Saccharomyces cerevisiae S288C: one gene and its partners. The gene in region 3 interacts genetically with the main gene of each other region. Each region holds a gene or a part of one and is shown on either strand. Other genes may lie near its edges.

Region 1 (5,233 bases), on a different chromosome or scaffold from region 3:
ACGGAAGAATTGCTGTTGCTCCCTATGGAGGTACACTGAATGAATTGTGGCTAGACAGAGACCTAGGTATTGGTGGTCGCCTTCTTTACAAGAAGAAGGGCACTAACGAAATTAAAAGCGCCTTGGTTGATTCTACACCCCTACCTGTTTGTCGAATTCCTTCCTTGGCTCCCCATTTCGGTAAACCTGCTGAAGGCCCATTTGATAAAGAGGACCAAACTATCCCGGTCATCGGCTTCCCCACTCCGGATGAGGAAGGTAATGAACCTCCCACGGATGATGAAAAGAAATCGCCCTTATTTGGCAAACACTGCATCCACCTGTTAAGGTACGTTGCCAAATTAGCCGGTGTGGAAGTGTCCGAATTGATTCAAATGGATTTAGACTTATTCGATGTGCAAAAGGGTACCATTGGAGGTATTGGTAAACACTTCCTTTTTGCACCACGTCTAGATGACAGGTTGTGTAGTTTCGCAGCAATGATTGCTTTGATTTGCTACGCTAAGGATGTTAATACCGAGGAATCAGATTTATTCTCTACTGTCACTTTGTATGATAATGAAGAAATCGGATCGTTGACAAGACAAGGCGCAAAAGGTGGCTTGTTGGAGTCAGTGGTGGAACGCAGTTCTTCTGCATTCACTAAGAAACCGGTCGATTTGCATACGGTTTGGGCTAATTCCATCATCTTGTCCGCAGACGTCAACCACCTCTACAACCCAAACTTTCCTGAAGTCTATTTGAAGAATCATTTTCCAGTGCCTAATGTCGGAATCACTTTATCACTGGATCCTAACGGTCATATGGCCACAGATGTCGTAGGAACTGCCCTAGTAGAAGAATTAGCACGCCGCAATGGAGACAAAGTGCAATATTTCCAAATCAAAAACAACTCAAGATCAGGTGGTACTATCGGCCCATCATTGGCTTCTCAAACAGGTGCTCGTACCATAGACCTGGGAATTGCACAGTTGTCCATGCACAGCATCAGAGCTGCTACAGGGTCCAAGGATGTCGGATTAGGTGTTAAGTTCTTCAACGGATTTTTCAAGCACTGGAGATCAGTCTACGATGAATTCGGCGAGTTGTGATTTTGCCACACTCTTTTTATTTCTTTTGATTTCTGTTTCTTTATCCTTTTTCTAAAAATACTTTTATTTCGAATCAGGAAGAAAAGAAAAATGTATAAAAAAAAAAAAATAAAACACCACAATCGTCAAGATATAAATATCTATTTATAAATAAAACATCAAAAATACCTAAACCCCAAACATTCTACTAGGAAAGAATATTAACAGTAACCACGAACTATAAAAAATGCATTTGAACACCAATGTGGGCCTTGACAGCCGTATTAGATGAAACAAACCACATACTTTTCTTGATTAGCCAAGCATTCTTTCTTTTGTGACGCCGTCGATCACTCAAATATCAATCCGGGTAACGCGCGGCTCCCTACATTTTCTTCGATTTTTATCTTTTTTTCACAAATCGAAAACATTAGACTTCCTCTTTGGGAAATCGGATGCATTTTAGCGTTTCTGAGGCGACTTTTCCTCTTCTTAAAATATTTATTTAGTGTCTTACATTCGACCCTTTTCGCCTTTCTGCTTTATTTTTGGAACACGTACTTCTTTTCGCTTACAAGAAAGCATTCTCAGTCATCCATCACACTTATTTTCACTGCAAAGTTACAGAACCGGTGTCCTTTCCAACATCATAGTTATATAGTTGAGAAAAAGTGGACAAAAAGCCAGCATAAACAAGGAATAACTGTATTTCTTTTCTTATATAGTTATCAGGGCCAAATAAGCAATAAGTTCTCGAGCAAATCAACAGCAACTTTTATAAAAAAATGTGTGGTATCTTTGGTTACTGCAATTATCTAGTGGAAAGATCCAGAGGAGAAATTATCGACACCTTAGTGGATGGTTTACAAAGATTAGAATATAGAGGCTATGATTCCACCGGTATTGCTATCGATGGTGACGAAGCTGATTCTACTTTCATCTATAAGCAAATCGGTAAAGTGAGTGCTTTGAAAGAGGAGATTACTAAGCAAAATCCGAACAGAGACGTTACTTTTGTCTCTCATTGTGGTATTGCGCATACTAGATGGGCTACTCACGGTCGACCAGAACAAGTTAACTGTCACCCTCAAAGATCTGACCCAGAAGACCAATTTGTGGTCGTTCATAATGGTATCATCACAAATTTTAGAGAACTGAAGACTCTTTTAATTAACAAAGGTTATAAATTCGAAAGTGATACCGATACCGAGTGTATTGCTAAACTATATTTGCATTTATACAATACAAATTTACAAAATGGGCATGACTTAGATTTCCACGAATTAACCAAGCTAGTTCTTTTAGAACTAGAAGGTTCATACGGGTTATTATGTAAATCTTGTCACTATCCTAATGAGGTTATCGCCACTAGAAAAGGGTCCCCTTTACTGATTGGTGTCAAATCTGAAAAAAAACTAAAAGTCGACTTCGTGGATGTGGAATTTCCCGAAGAAAACGCTGGTCAACCGGAAATTCCATTGAAATCTAACAACAAATCATTTGGCTTGGGCCCAAAGAAAGCTCGTGAATTTGAAGCTGGTTCCCAAAATGCCAATTTACTACCAATTGCCGCCAATGAATTTAACTTGAGACATTCTCAATCCAGGGCTTTCCTATCAGAAGATGGATCTCCAACACCGGTGGAATTTTTTGTTTCTTCGGATGCGGCATCTGTTGTTAAACATACCAAGAAGGTGCTATTTTTAGAAGATGACGATTTGGCTCATATTTACGATGGTGAGTTACATATTCATAGATCTAGAAGAGAAGTAGGCGCATCAATGACAAGGTCCATTCAAACTTTAGAGATGGAGTTAGCTCAGATCATGAAGGGCCCTTACGACCATTTTATGCAAAAGGAAATCTATGAGCAACCAGAATCTACTTTCAATACTATGAGAGGTAGAATCGACTATGAAAATAATAAAGTGATATTGGGTGGTTTAAAGGCATGGTTACCAGTTGTCAGAAGAGCACGGAGACTGATCATGATCGCATGCGGTACTTCTTATCATTCATGTTTGGCTACTCGTGCTATCTTCGAAGAATTATCAGATATCCCAGTTAGTGTGGAATTAGCGTCTGACTTTCTGGACAGAAAATGCCCTGTCTTCAGAGACGATGTATGCGTGTTTGTTTCACAAAGTGGTGAAACTGCGGATACCATGCTGGCTCTAAATTATTGTTTAGAAAGAGGAGCCTTAACTGTCGGAATTGTTAACAGTGTTGGTTCTTCTATCTCTCGTGTCACCCACTGTGGTGTTCATATTAACGCTGGTCCTGAAATTGGTGTTGCCTCTACAAAAGCTTATACTTCCCAGTATATTGCCTTAGTGATGTTTGCTCTATCGCTGTCAGATGACCGTGTATCGAAAATAGACAGAAGAATTGAAATCATTCAAGGCTTGAAGTTAATCCCGGGCCAAATTAAGCAGGTATTAAAGCTGGAACCAAGAATAAAAAAGCTCTGTGCGACTGAATTAAAGGATCAAAAATCTCTATTGTTATTGGGTAGAGGTTACCAATTTGCTGCTGCTCTGGAAGGTGCTTTGAAGATCAAAGAAATTTCTTATATGCATTCTGAAGGTGTTTTGGCAGGTGAGTTGAAGCACGGTGTCTTGGCCTTGGTGGACGAAAACTTGCCAATCATTGCTTTTGGTACCAGAGACTCTCTATTCCCTAAAGTAGTTTCCTCTATTGAGCAAGTTACTGCAAGAAAGGGCCATCCAATTATTATTTGTAACGAAAATGATGAAGTGTGGGCGCAAAAATCTAAATCAATCGACCTGCAAACCTTAGAAGTTCCACAAACTGTTGATTGTTTACAAGGTCTAATTAATATTATTCCATTACAACTAATGTCATATTGGTTGGCTGTTAATAAAGGGATTGATGTTGATTTTCCAAGAAACTTGGCTAAATCTGTTACCGTCGAATAAATTAACCCTTTTACTTTCTCTTCGTCCCCCAGCCTCCCATCCGTCTTTCTACTATCACTTCTCCTTCGCTTTTAATTTTTGAACTTCCATTATTCTGCAATGCGCACTACAAGCTGGCGTTAAAGATGATTCCACTTGTATTCTCTATATAAATAAAAAATTATATTTTATATGAATAACCAAAAAGATAGTTGCAGCCCTAAATTAGACCTGCTAAATAAATGTGTTCTAACTTTGTTACAATTTTTAAACCATATAACTTCCTTCTTGTAAGTCCTCTAAAATAATATTAAACCCTATCCTGAGTTGGGCCCTGCGTTTTACCCGCAGGAATAGGCCCGATGATTGATTATCCACATCAACTTTTGGTGAAATTCGAGAGAAAATAAATGGGAAGTGAACGAGCAATAGGCAATCAACAAAAAAAAAAAAGGGTTAGGAAATTCGCTATTGTAAAGAGGCAATTTTTAAAATTTAGAGTGAAAATCGCCATTCCATCTTCTTCATATTCTTCGTTCAAATTACACAATTATTGCGGGAGGAAATAGCATTTATTAACCCTAATAATCAACATAAGGCAGATAGCTCTGAAAGAGGCAAGTATCAACAAATAGTGGGAGCATTGGAAATAGCGGGATGATCCAAGAAAGTAGTCCAGATGCCTTAGCAGCAGCAGCAGCAATTGGAAATGCGCTCAGTTATAATGGGAGGACCGTTGACAAGAGTAAAATACCGCAATACAATCAGAGTTTTACCTCTCGAACTACGTCAATCGCAGGGATTAATAGGTATACAATGCTCTCGAATTCTAGGACTAACTCAAGGATGCTCTTAATGAATGGTAACGTTCGCCAATACTCTAAGCGCACGTCGAGTTTGCCAAACCAAGGACATAAGAATACCTCTAATAATTCGGCGGGGAGAAGGCAACACAGGGCTCACGAGGATGCAGAAACCACGTTTCGAGAATTTGGAGGCAAGCAGTCATCGAAGGTTTTAAACATTTCAAGTTCGACTGGTCAGAATAGTAAATCAAGGACCACATCACTTGGGAACTCAGGCAGCACAATAAGGACGATAAAAAAATACATACCAGGCCCTAGGGGGTTAATGGCTGTGGAAGTACCCGTGGAAGTAGAGCCTCCTAGATACAGTCTGAGCAACCGCTCAAACCAACGAGGTGGTAGAGCATATTCTTTGCCTACTCGAAACAACAAAACTAGT
Region 2 (6,083 bases), 1.2 Mb from region 3:
TTTTTTCTACGGTAAGCTTGGATATAACAGATTCGTGATTAATAATCTCAGAGTACTTTTTATGAGTTAAGTCGGATAACTCTCTAAAACCCTTCTCTAAGTCTTGAATTTCCTTTATTAATGCATCTTGAGTCGACGAGGATTTTGTATCGTTTGATCTTTGATCAATTTTTGTCCATTGCTCCTTCAAAATATCAATTGCATGTTGTAAATCGCTCAACACTTCAGTCTTGGATTTTTCAGCTTCCAAAATGGCGATTTTGCTTAGTAAATCATCACGAGCCGTTCTTATTCTTACAACGTCCTTTTCCAATGAACTGTTCATTTCTACTAGGGAGTCGAGACTTTTCTGGAATTCTTCTCGGACCTTCTTCGTATATATTTCTTTCTCTTTGGCTAAAACTTGAAATTTTGATAAAAAGGAACTATTGATCTCAGATAATTCTGCGTTTTGTTCAGTCAAATGTTGAATTTTTGCTAACAGGGACTCATGGTCATATGACTTGAAATCTGGGTCTTGGTCTGCTGCTGCTATCTGTTGCTTTTTTAAATTGGATACCTCAGAACGTGTTTTGATGAGCTCTTCCTCGTTTTCCCTTCTGATATTTTCAAGGTCTTTTATAGTGGAACTCAAGGAGTTTATCTCTGCCCGTAAATCAGAAAATTTCAGATCCAATTCTAATTTTTCATTCTCAGCATCTTCTTTTCGTTCATCCTCCGCCTGCACAAGTTCATCACCTTTCTCGGATTTTTTGGATGTATTATCACCATTAATTGCAGAGGAGTCTTTATTTCCAGATTTTATATTGTTTTCATTAGATTCTTTTTCATCTTCCCGTAATTCCTTTACAGCATCAGTCTTATCTTCCTTAAAAACACGTTTTATAGTAAAGGATTCATCTCTATCATACTTGCGAATTATATTTGTATAATATTCCTTCAAAGCAGAAATCTCCTCTGTCAATTGCGAATTTTCATAAAAGAGCTCCTCTTTACTTTTCCGCAAGTTTTTTAACTCCGTTGTTAATTCTTGAATATGATCCGAAGCATTACTATTAGTATTACTATCTGTCGTGTTTGGCTTCCCATATTTAGTCAGTAGCTTCATGAAAGAATCACTGCGCTGAACTATCAACGTCTCATCGCCTTGGGCTATTTCCCTACATAGTTGCTTCTCGTTGGCGTCTGTGCAGAATGTTTCGATAAACCTAGCTAAAGTTACTATCAGCGCCATAATATTTGCCAACTTGCGGGAAACATCTATGCACTCCCTTCTTGAAAGTTCATATTGCTTTCGCAAGGCTTCAAAGTCGACTCTTCGACGATTTATACATCTAAACAAAGCTTCTTTTTGAAACGCTATCACATCAGATTGAGTAAGCGGTTCACTAGGATCGCTTAATTCTAGCTTGATCTTCTTAGTAGCAGGCTCGGCCGTCATATCTGATTATTATCAGCTAGCACGATTAGCATAAAAACGGTGAAAGCCCTTTCTATCTCTGTTAAAAACCTTGGGGCGCTCTCTGTTAGTTTACCGTTCAAACAACATCCATCCAACTTTTTTTAATCTTCTTCTTTTTTGTTTTTTCGCCTTCTTTAAGAAAGTTTCGTTGGATGTGATTATAATCACGTGATCAAATGCTTTTGTCACTTTTATATAATAACGATGGTTTGATCAAAGTACGATCAGTTGGTGCTTCATTTCAAAGTTAGAAGACATCCTTAGTGCCTATTGTCGATCTGCTCTTTCTTTTTGAATCCACTGAAATTAACGATCTCAGAATTTCACCAGTGATTTTCCCAATATTATCTTTCGTGGGTAGAGAAACAATTCTGAACTCGATTGTGCTTCGTATGCTATATACGCATTGTTGTAGCACTAAAGATCATATTGCTCATTAAGCATGGGTCCTGCCATACATAATCAACTATATGAATGTGGATTAAAGACTACGTCTCAAGATGGCTTCTTGATGGACAATTATGAAACTCAATTATTTCAATCGTTGAACAGGTTTATCAATTTCATAAACAATGCTAATCAGTCAGCTAGTAATAAAGAACAAAATACAAAATTTTGCAAATCCTCCTCAAATTTTTTACGCTTGAAACTACTAACGGTTCTAAGACAATGGTGTGATTCTTCACGAAGCAACTGTACACTGGAGGTTAGAGATGTTTTGACCCAATGGTGGGTCACACTTTTAAACTTTCTAAATTCTGACACCTCGCTTCAAATAGATACTGCCCTTGAATTGAGCTTGAGCATAGAACTAACTTCCGTGTGTCTCGAGTGCCTCAGCAAAATTATGACCATACTAATAATATTGCCTTTCCATTCATCCAGAGACATGGAAATATACTCACATCATCTTTTGCTGACCATTCATTGCATAACAAACAAGTTGATTTTGATTTCTAAAAACTCCAAAAAACTTAAACGTACAAATAGTGATGACAAGTGCTCTATAAACGACAAGAAGCTGCAATACCTTAACAAATATTCTTCCTTGCTGCGAGCATTCATCGGGAAGTTAAATGCTTACGCATTTTTTTATCTACCAGAAGACTTTCATTTCGATACAATTTTGTTATTGACAGTTTCTCCTCAAATCTCTTCAAGTATTCAAACATCTTTGTTTTCATGGAAGAAGAGACAATATAAATTCACCGACGATCAGGGACAAATGATCCGCACTGAAGCTTTTGAAAATAAAGATACTAAATTTTTTAAGATCATTGTTTCTTATATTAAAAATGATTTTGTACTTATGTCATTTTATTGGCACTATTGGTATATCATACTTCAATTTATGAAATTCTCTGATTCAGATGTAGGAATTAAAAAATCGACATTGTCATGCATACCTGGCTCAGAAATTTTATTGACGCATGTAACCACTAGATTCTTGAATTCAGATTTGAATAAATTCACGCGGATTATTAAACAAACGCCGAATCCAAGGATAGCAAATGAGAATGTGACAGAGTCACATCCAAATTTCAAGAGTTTGAATAGTAGCAATGCTTTAATTACATCTGAAAGGATTAATGATTACGTATTTTCTAATTTTAAGACAATCAAATTATGGGAATGTCTTAGAAGCCTTTCAGGATGCATTCTTAAAGAAAATCATCCGGAATACCTGGAAAATATGCTTTCCTTACATGAGTCTCTATTGATAGACTATGTCTCCACTATTTCAGCGTACGATTATATTGCAGCGAACGTCATTTACAATAAGGTTCTCCAGTTTATTATTTTCCAGTTTGAAAGTTTACCTTCTCTGAAATTCATTCAATGGAGGTCGTGGTACAATGGGCTTTTGAGTATGTTAAGGACCAAAAATGTTAACTGCCAGACTGTTTCTTTATTATGCCTTTTCAATATTTGGAAGCACGTAACCATTGAGGACCGCGATGAAATAGTAAAAGTGCTGTTAAGTGATTTTTGGGAGTCATTGATTTTTGAAAACGAATTTCCTTTGATTAGAATTTTATTTATGAAGGTATTAGTTTTTAAAATCATTCCAAGTGTTCAAAATTCTTCTTCATTACGATTCTTGCCACATGATAGAATTAAACAACTATATGAAGAGCTACTGGTAAACAAGGAGGAGTTATTTGAGATGCAAAAACACGATTCAAATGATATAGTGGCGCATAGAAAGAATGCTCTCGTTTTTAATGGTAACTCACGTTTGATGATGATTCCAAAAAAACCAAATACAGAGGACCACTTAGTTTATAAGATTAATCATGATAAAAATTTAACTACAGAAAGATTTCCCTCTGTCAGCTCAGTGGCAAATACAAGACCTAACGTTATCTTGAAAAATGGTAAATACGCTTATGATATTTTGGACGAAATGACAAGTAAAGCTGCCTTTCTTCTTGCAGAAAAGAAGACCCGACTAAATCCCAAAAAAAATCACAAAATTATGGATGGCTACGAAGGAGGTCAGGAAAACGAAGATAATGATGAAGACTCAGAAGATAGTGGCTCGCATAAAAATAAGAGAAAGGAAGGTAATAGTTCTTTATCGGCAACACTGAACACTTGGCTTTCAAAATTTTCAAGTACTTCTGAAGATTCACAGAAGAAGAAGGAACAGGCAAATGAATTAGGCAACGATTTTGAATATGATGAAGATGTGGCTGATTTTGCAGAAATTTTGCCGAAGCAGTCATCTAGTAATATTGAAAAAATTTTTAAGCATGGTAACAATTCAGGATCAATGGTATCATATAATTCAAGTATCAAGCTCAATAGGAGGGAGAATATATTGATAGGTCCACCAGAGTTGAGATTTTCTAATGAAATCAAGGAACACAATAGTATTGCTACAATATTCAAACTGGTATTTATTCAAACCAATAGAAGAGTCGTCGAAAAAATAGATTTGGCGAACATGAAATGGGGGACAATCCACGGAGGCAGTAAGTACATGAAGCCTTTACCCGTCCCGAAAGATTTGGTTGCGAGTGTTGCTAAGAACGAAAGTGAGACGAGAAACTTAGCTACCTTATGCGGTAATGGTCTAGATTTTGAGATACCGGTGCCTGATTTTAATATTTTTGGCAAATGTATGGAAGATGAGCAAGATGTAGCCAAAATTGGTAATCAGAATGTGGAAGATTTGAAAGTTACTGGGGGGCGGGAGGTGACAATTTGGAAGCAGATCCAAGATATGAAGTTGAGAACAAGGATACAAAAAATCTGTGTTTTAATTGAGACGTTCAATGCTACAGTAAGAGAATATTTTGAGTTTTCCAATCGATTAGAGCATGACGGTATATTTATAGATTTTGAAGTGAGGAAACCTAGTAGTAATAATTCTATTAATATCAAAGTCTGAATAATAGAATGAGTTACATACGTAAACGTGTAGTATTATTATTATTATTCTATTTCCTTTCCGTTTTTATTATTTATATATATATATATATATATATATATTTGGGTGTTTATATTTAGGTAGGGCATAAGGATTTACTGTCGGCATGAACCTACTTGAACAAAAAAATAAAAATCAAAAGAAAAATAATGTAGGCTTTTGCACATCGACTATATATAAATATATATATACACACTTCTGTGCAGAAGAAAAGGAATAAAACGTCAAACTAATTTATTTCTTCTTGCAACGATTCCGACTTCTCCTTTAAACGTGCAATTTCGTCATCGATGTCCTGAATTTTCTTCAATAGTTCAAAATTTTTCTCATCGCCGTGGTCATCCTTGGAAGCGCCGGATTGAGCAGCAGCTTCGGCAGTAACAGAGTCGTTCTTCTTGACATCGCTGGAGGCTACTGGAGGCGATGCTCTGTATATGTCTTTCATGGTTAAAAGTTCTATGACTAGCCCAAAAGTCCTAACGACGACAAAGGTCAAAAACAAAGTTATACCTGTCAAATACATATTCCTTTGGGCAAAGAATTTCCTAGAAAGAACCTCAATTCTATCTTGAGCGATTATAGCGCCATTATTTTGAGAGGCGCTACTTAACTGCAGCTCTTTGTCGATGCTGTACACTCTGTTGATACAATCGATGAAAAGCAAAAGAATGAACCCAAGTACACACTTGATCGCAACTTGCACTGTGGAGGATTTGAACGGCTTTAATAACAGTAAGGTGAGAGGCCTACGGTATCTAGAAGGGATTGGTAGGGCTAGAATGGAGAACATGAAAATCTCCACCACTAGAATGGCAAAAACCAAGGTGTAATATAATGACATGATTCAATTCTGTGAATTCTATGGTTATGAGTATAATGTGACGTGGTTACCTTGGAAGAGCTCACTATTCTATCTTCCTACTAAATCGGGATTTGCTATATACCATTGTTATATACGGCACTTTTCCACTCTTCTTCCCCTTAATGGAGTGAAGCAGGCAGGGTGACCCTCTAGCTAAAAAAAGAAAGAGGCGAAAAAAGAGTGCAACGTCAACAACGCTAAAAGAGAAAGGGAGAAACGCGCAAGTGTTTACGCATAGAGGGTGAACAGGAGCAAGAGCATTTTGATAGCACACAGACTTTTAATAATAAAGCGGCAGAGAATGACTCAAATAAATGCGCGAT
Region 3 (5,283 bases):
GGAATCAAAGAAATTATAGAAAACAGTAGATCAGAGATCCTGCCTTTGGAATTCTGTAATTCAACATATGGAAAAATTGATGCGAAATCACAAGAGTACAGGGATAATTTGGTAATGTATCTCACTAGTTACCATTGTTTTGCTACGCGTACTATCTCGTTTCAATCACCTCTTCTATAATATTACTAAAAAATGTTCATATGTTATATGGCGTACCGATAAAGTTATTGCATTTCTCATGCGATTTTAACTTCCTTTTCAAGTCAAGGATACTTTGTGCAAGCGTAAATCCTTGCTCAATCTCCTCTGCTCAAAATGAAAAAAAAAAAAACGCAGAATCATATGCAGGATGCAATATTGCTTAAATGATTCTATATTTTGCACTTATGTGTGAAGAGTGTAATTTTTGATCTTCCATTTTAATGTTATGCACATAGAGCTGAAATTAAATGCGTCATATATAATTATTATGAGTGAGTGGATTTTGAGATAATTATTGGGAATTCATTATTGCTTGAGATAATATTATTACTTATACAGAATACACTAGAAGTGCTCCTCGGGGACATAGAGATCCATAAAAGGGAATCGATAATTCTACACATTAATCTGTTTTATTTCTTTATCTGTTTTACACGTTTTCATTCATTATCTTATTACAAAATCAGCCCTTGCGCTTCATGTTCCATTATACTCGCAGACTGTTTCTCATCATTTATCTCATCTTTAACTCCATTCAGTATATTATCTTAATAACGCGACTACTAGTAGTGAATAATGGTCAATTTTTACTTCAGAAACTTCCCTTGATTTCATTCATAGATGTTATTTCATTGTCAATTTTTACTCTTACTCACCGATTTGAATGACAGTAAAGAACTTTGCTCAATTAATATTATATTTGTTGTTATCGTCTAACGCTGTAAGTATATGGTACTATCATAAGAACCTCAGTAGTGGAATATGGTTGTTTCTTGTGCTGACATGATTCCGGATGGCCTGTAGGAAAGTATCCAAGATTTTTATTATCAGATACCGGTATGCATTCCATAATGCCAGAGTTTGCGTTCTTACGTCAAAGAACAATGATGCTACGGAGCGCAAGAAAGTGACGTGGCCAACTATCAGCGCGCTAGGATATGTATGCACTGCCGAAAGGCTGAAGCGTATCGTACATTAATTCATAAAGAGAAAGAAATCTCAACCCTGAATTTAGGATAGCGAAGTGCAATAAGAAAAACTTTACCATTGTTTTCAGGATGAATTCTATATCAGCCTGTTTATATAAACAATTTGACAATAGTGCGTAAAGCTAAAAAAGGAAGCATGCCCTTTGTTCCTTATCGGGTGGAGAGGGCCGCACTTAATCTCGAGCGGATATCAGGTACCAAAAGCCTAATTGAAGCAGGCAAATTTTTTTTCCCTATTTTCTTTTATTTGAGTGTGTACATACTAATATAAATTTGATCAAATAATGAATGCGATTAAAAATCAATATTGGCAAATGGAAAAAAATCTAATAGCGGCTAATAGTGAGACTTACATCGCTATAGATTGGTAATTAAACGAATTAAATAATAACAATTGAAAAAAAAAAAACTATCATGAGAGAATATACCAGTAAAAAAGAACTAAAGGAAGAGATTGAAAAAAAATATGAAAAATATGATGCAGAATTTGAAACAATCTCTGAATCTCAAAAAGACGAAAAAGTTGAAACAGTGGATAGAACACCCTCTGAAAACCTCTCTTATCAATTGGGCTGGGTTAATTTATTATTAGAGTGGGAAGCAAAGGAAATTGCTGGGTATAATGTGGAAACTCCTGCGCCTGGTTATAAATGGAACAATTTAGGAGGATTATACCAGTCATTTTATAAAAAATACGGAATCTACTCCATTAAGGAGCAAAGAGCCAAGCTGAGAGAGGCCGTAAACGAGGTCTATAAATGGATATCTACTTTATCTGATGATGAGCTCTTTCAAGCGGGAAATAGAAAATGGGCTACAACTAAAGCTATGTGGCCTGTGTATAAATGGATCCATATCAACACGGTTGCTCCTTTCACAAACTTTAGAGGAAAAATTAGAAAATGGAAGAGACTAGTGCCTGAAGAACAACGCATAAAAAGGAGGAAGATATAATGAGAAAGTTGTATATGGCCGTCTATTTTTTTTCTTGCAGGATTTAGAAACTACCACAGGAAAACCTTTTTTAATATCATATTTTTTGATATTATTATATTTGAGAAATGAATCTCGATTATTATGAGTCAATTTAACAAAACCTCATATAATGTACAGCAGTATAAAGACAAAACTCTCTTACGCTTACCATAGCCTCAATAACATGTCACAATACGAACTTTTTATGTTCTTCCCATATATTTTATTGTACTCTACACACACAGTATTGATCATATAGTTAATTTACCTTACTATACGCTAACCTTTAAAGCAACAAAGATATAGACGATACCATACATGAATGTCGATCAGAGACGTATGGTATAGCTTGTGTCACATTCTGCTATCGTATATGGTATACATGGCACATACTTTAAATTTTAAAGTAATGTCACTTGATTAAGATCTTTCCTATACGTCAAGGTCTCGAGATAAAACTTTATGTCTCAAATAATACATGCTAGGCATATAATGACCCATTTTCTGGAGTTGATGTACTCAAGACATTGGTTAAATATCAATCACGCATGATGATAGTGCGCCCTATTATAACCCATTTTTGTCATCGTCATCACGCTTCATCACCTGAGAAAAGTAACATACAAACTCAACGCCTACTAAGATTAATACATCAAAAACGATATCGTTGCCATGTACGTGCCCTAACTGCAGAAGAGAACTTCAACACTTGGACTAAAATTCACATGAAATTCTCCTAACATTCTAACATCGGTGACATCATTCCAAACCTCTTTGTAAAAGAATATATGAACAACATATGCATTAGAATAACGTGCCGTTAATTTTGCTCGAATTAACTTACCCCAGACTTGACAAAAATCTAAAAACTAACTACTCAGAAACACAAGCAAGCCTTGTGCATAAGAAAGATGTAAATCCATAGCATCAGCAGTTTCGAACTTGATACACCTCCAATTATTGCTTCATAAAGAATACATCTCCGTCTGGTAATGCGATGGCCCCGGTTTAGAGTACCCTTCTTGCGCAAGGTACTTGTGTGATAAGTAGCGCATTTTTTGCACATCACGTATGCTACTTTTGTATTCTTCACTAGCAGGCACTACAGTTGAAATAGAATTGAAGCTTGAAGTGTCGTATGGGTTATTCCGATTAGTTCACCTATTCGCATATTACGATTTTATAATCAGAGTGATATCAATGAGTATTATAACCTTTAAGTCATTGTGCTTATGCTATCTATAAACGTCCAGCGGCACATAATTCATCTATTTATGCAATTCCTACAATAAATGTTGATATCTTCATGGAAATTTCTTAAGCACAAACTTGTATTTAATATCCTGCATAAAGAAAACAGACATCTAGAAAACTTTCATAATTTTCAAAATAATCTTCCTTTATACACACTCTAGCGACCTGGGTTTACATTTCCGTGTATGATTGCTTTATATAATAGGACAATAAAGGAAAGTCGCTAGAAGAGAATATTATAGAAAGCTAAAGTGTTTAGAAACAGATGACTTAGAAGCACCTCTGTAATGTGGAGACAATGGTCTCAAGTTGGCGCATACATCAGTTTGCCACAGCGACAGAAGTATAACCGATTAACTCAACATGAAGGATCCTAGAATATACCGCAAGATTCGATTATCGATCGTCTACTACATCATAGTAGCAGTTAATATTACTAAAATACATGCATCTTTTGTATGATACATGATCAATATATATGATTATATTACTTCTTTCAGTTTAGCATTTTAAGGATATTAGCACCACAGGCAGAATCCCACTTTTTCAGTCTCTCATACTCTCTCAGTTTGATTGAGATTTAACAATATCAGCACATTTTAGAAGATGCTACAGTCAAATACCGCCTCATCTAAAGCATGTTCTACATATATCACAACGTCACGTTGAATAAGGCCATGTGACACGGGTTTCTGCCGGTCGACATTCCAAGCATTGTATTACAATCTTCTTTCATTATGACATACTATTGCATTTTCTAGGGAATATTCAAAGCTTGTCCATACCGAATATAAGCGATCACGTTTTGATTACCATTTTTTTTTTTACCTACTCTGTCTTTAATATTAGAACTATACATGGGTAAGATTGGTAGATGATAGTATATACCTATAATTACAGTTTCATAGAATGGAACTTTTAAATTTTATTCTAACTTTTATGAAATACCTTAAAGCGCAAAATACAGGCTGACAGGATAACCACAATGTCTCAAATCCCACCTGCATTAGCTATTTTTAATAATCAGTTCATTATTTCCATTTTCATGTATACGGTTACTATGCAATTAATGGTAATGCATATTCATTGGCGAAGGCAGATATCTCCAAAAGTTCATTCAGCACGAAAAAATGCACCGCACGCATCAAATGATGTTTTGAATTTTAGCACTTATGTTTAAAGACTATTCGTTGATAATCCATTGTTTCCACTATTTTCAAAATCTTACCAAATGACAGCTGAACTTGCCGGAAAGCAGGGTTTTTGTAAAAGTAATACCGTTCCTTGCAATTGCATACAGGCCATGAGTACTAAAAATACTGTGGTCATTTTATGCAATCACTAGACACTCAAGAAACTGTAGAAAAAGATATCAGCAGAATACAAAAAATCTTTAACGAATGATTGTATTGGAGATTTGGAGTCTTAAATAGCTATGTGGCATTTAATTGAGTCTATTGCATAGTTCCTTTGATTTTATGTACGCCCTCGCCACTATATTTCAATGATATAGTGATTCAACTTATAGAGTACATATCTGCTTAGGAGCAACATACTTGAATCATTTTTGTTAGCTACATTCCTTAAATGGTCGCTAGGGAGAGAATTTCTAAGCTATTCAATGATAAAAGCGGAAACAAATATTATCTTTTTACCGTTTGAGGTACTCCGAGCAATACTAGAACAACTAGCAACTTTCTTTTTGATGTTAAATAATTATGCCCTAGATTAACCGATATTTGCTGTTAATATAGTCCATTTATTTTTTATGTGCTGTCAGAAATATTGGTTTATAGAATGAAATTAAAATAACCAATGCTTTAACGATGTTACATTTATAGAGTATTACGCATCTACATCATCA

Evidence for each region. Genes that interact genetically often act in the same process or in processes that back each other up.
Region 1: mutations in IRC4 (region 3) and GFA1 together harm fitness more than expected from each alone (negative genetic interaction), as found in Saccharomyces cerevisiae (one large-scale study listed by BioGRID).
Region 2: mutations in IRC4 (region 3) and AHK1 together harm fitness more than expected from each alone (negative genetic interaction), as found in Saccharomyces cerevisiae (one large-scale study listed by BioGRID).

What each region holds. Positions count from the first base shown.
Region 1 is NC_001143.9:241,996-247,228, reverse strand, and holds GFA1 (glutamine--fructose-6-phosphate transaminase (isomerizing) GFA1), read left to right. Parts: upstream 1-1,855; coding exon 1,856-4,009; downstream 4,010-5,233. Other genes in the region: metalloaminopeptidase APE1, read left to right, coding at 1-1,091; YKL104W-A (uncharacterized protein), read right to left, coding at 1,943-2,197; SEG2 (Seg2p), read left to right, coding at 4,646-5,233. UniProt on the Saccharomyces cerevisiae protein: Involved in amino sugar synthesis (formation of chitin, supplies the amino sugars of asparagine-linked oligosaccharides of glycoproteins).
Region 2 is NC_001136.10:324,709-330,791, forward strand, and holds AHK1 (Ahk1p), read left to right. Parts: upstream 1-1,904; coding exon 1,905-4,859; downstream 4,860-6,083. Other genes in the region: E3 ubiquitin-protein ligase BRE1, read right to left, coding at 1-1,441; YET3 (Yet3p), read right to left, coding at 5,128-5,739.
Region 3 is NC_001136.10:1,513,997-1,519,279, reverse strand, and holds IRC4 (Irc4p), read left to right. Parts: upstream 1-1,604; coding exon 1,605-2,144; downstream 2,145-5,283.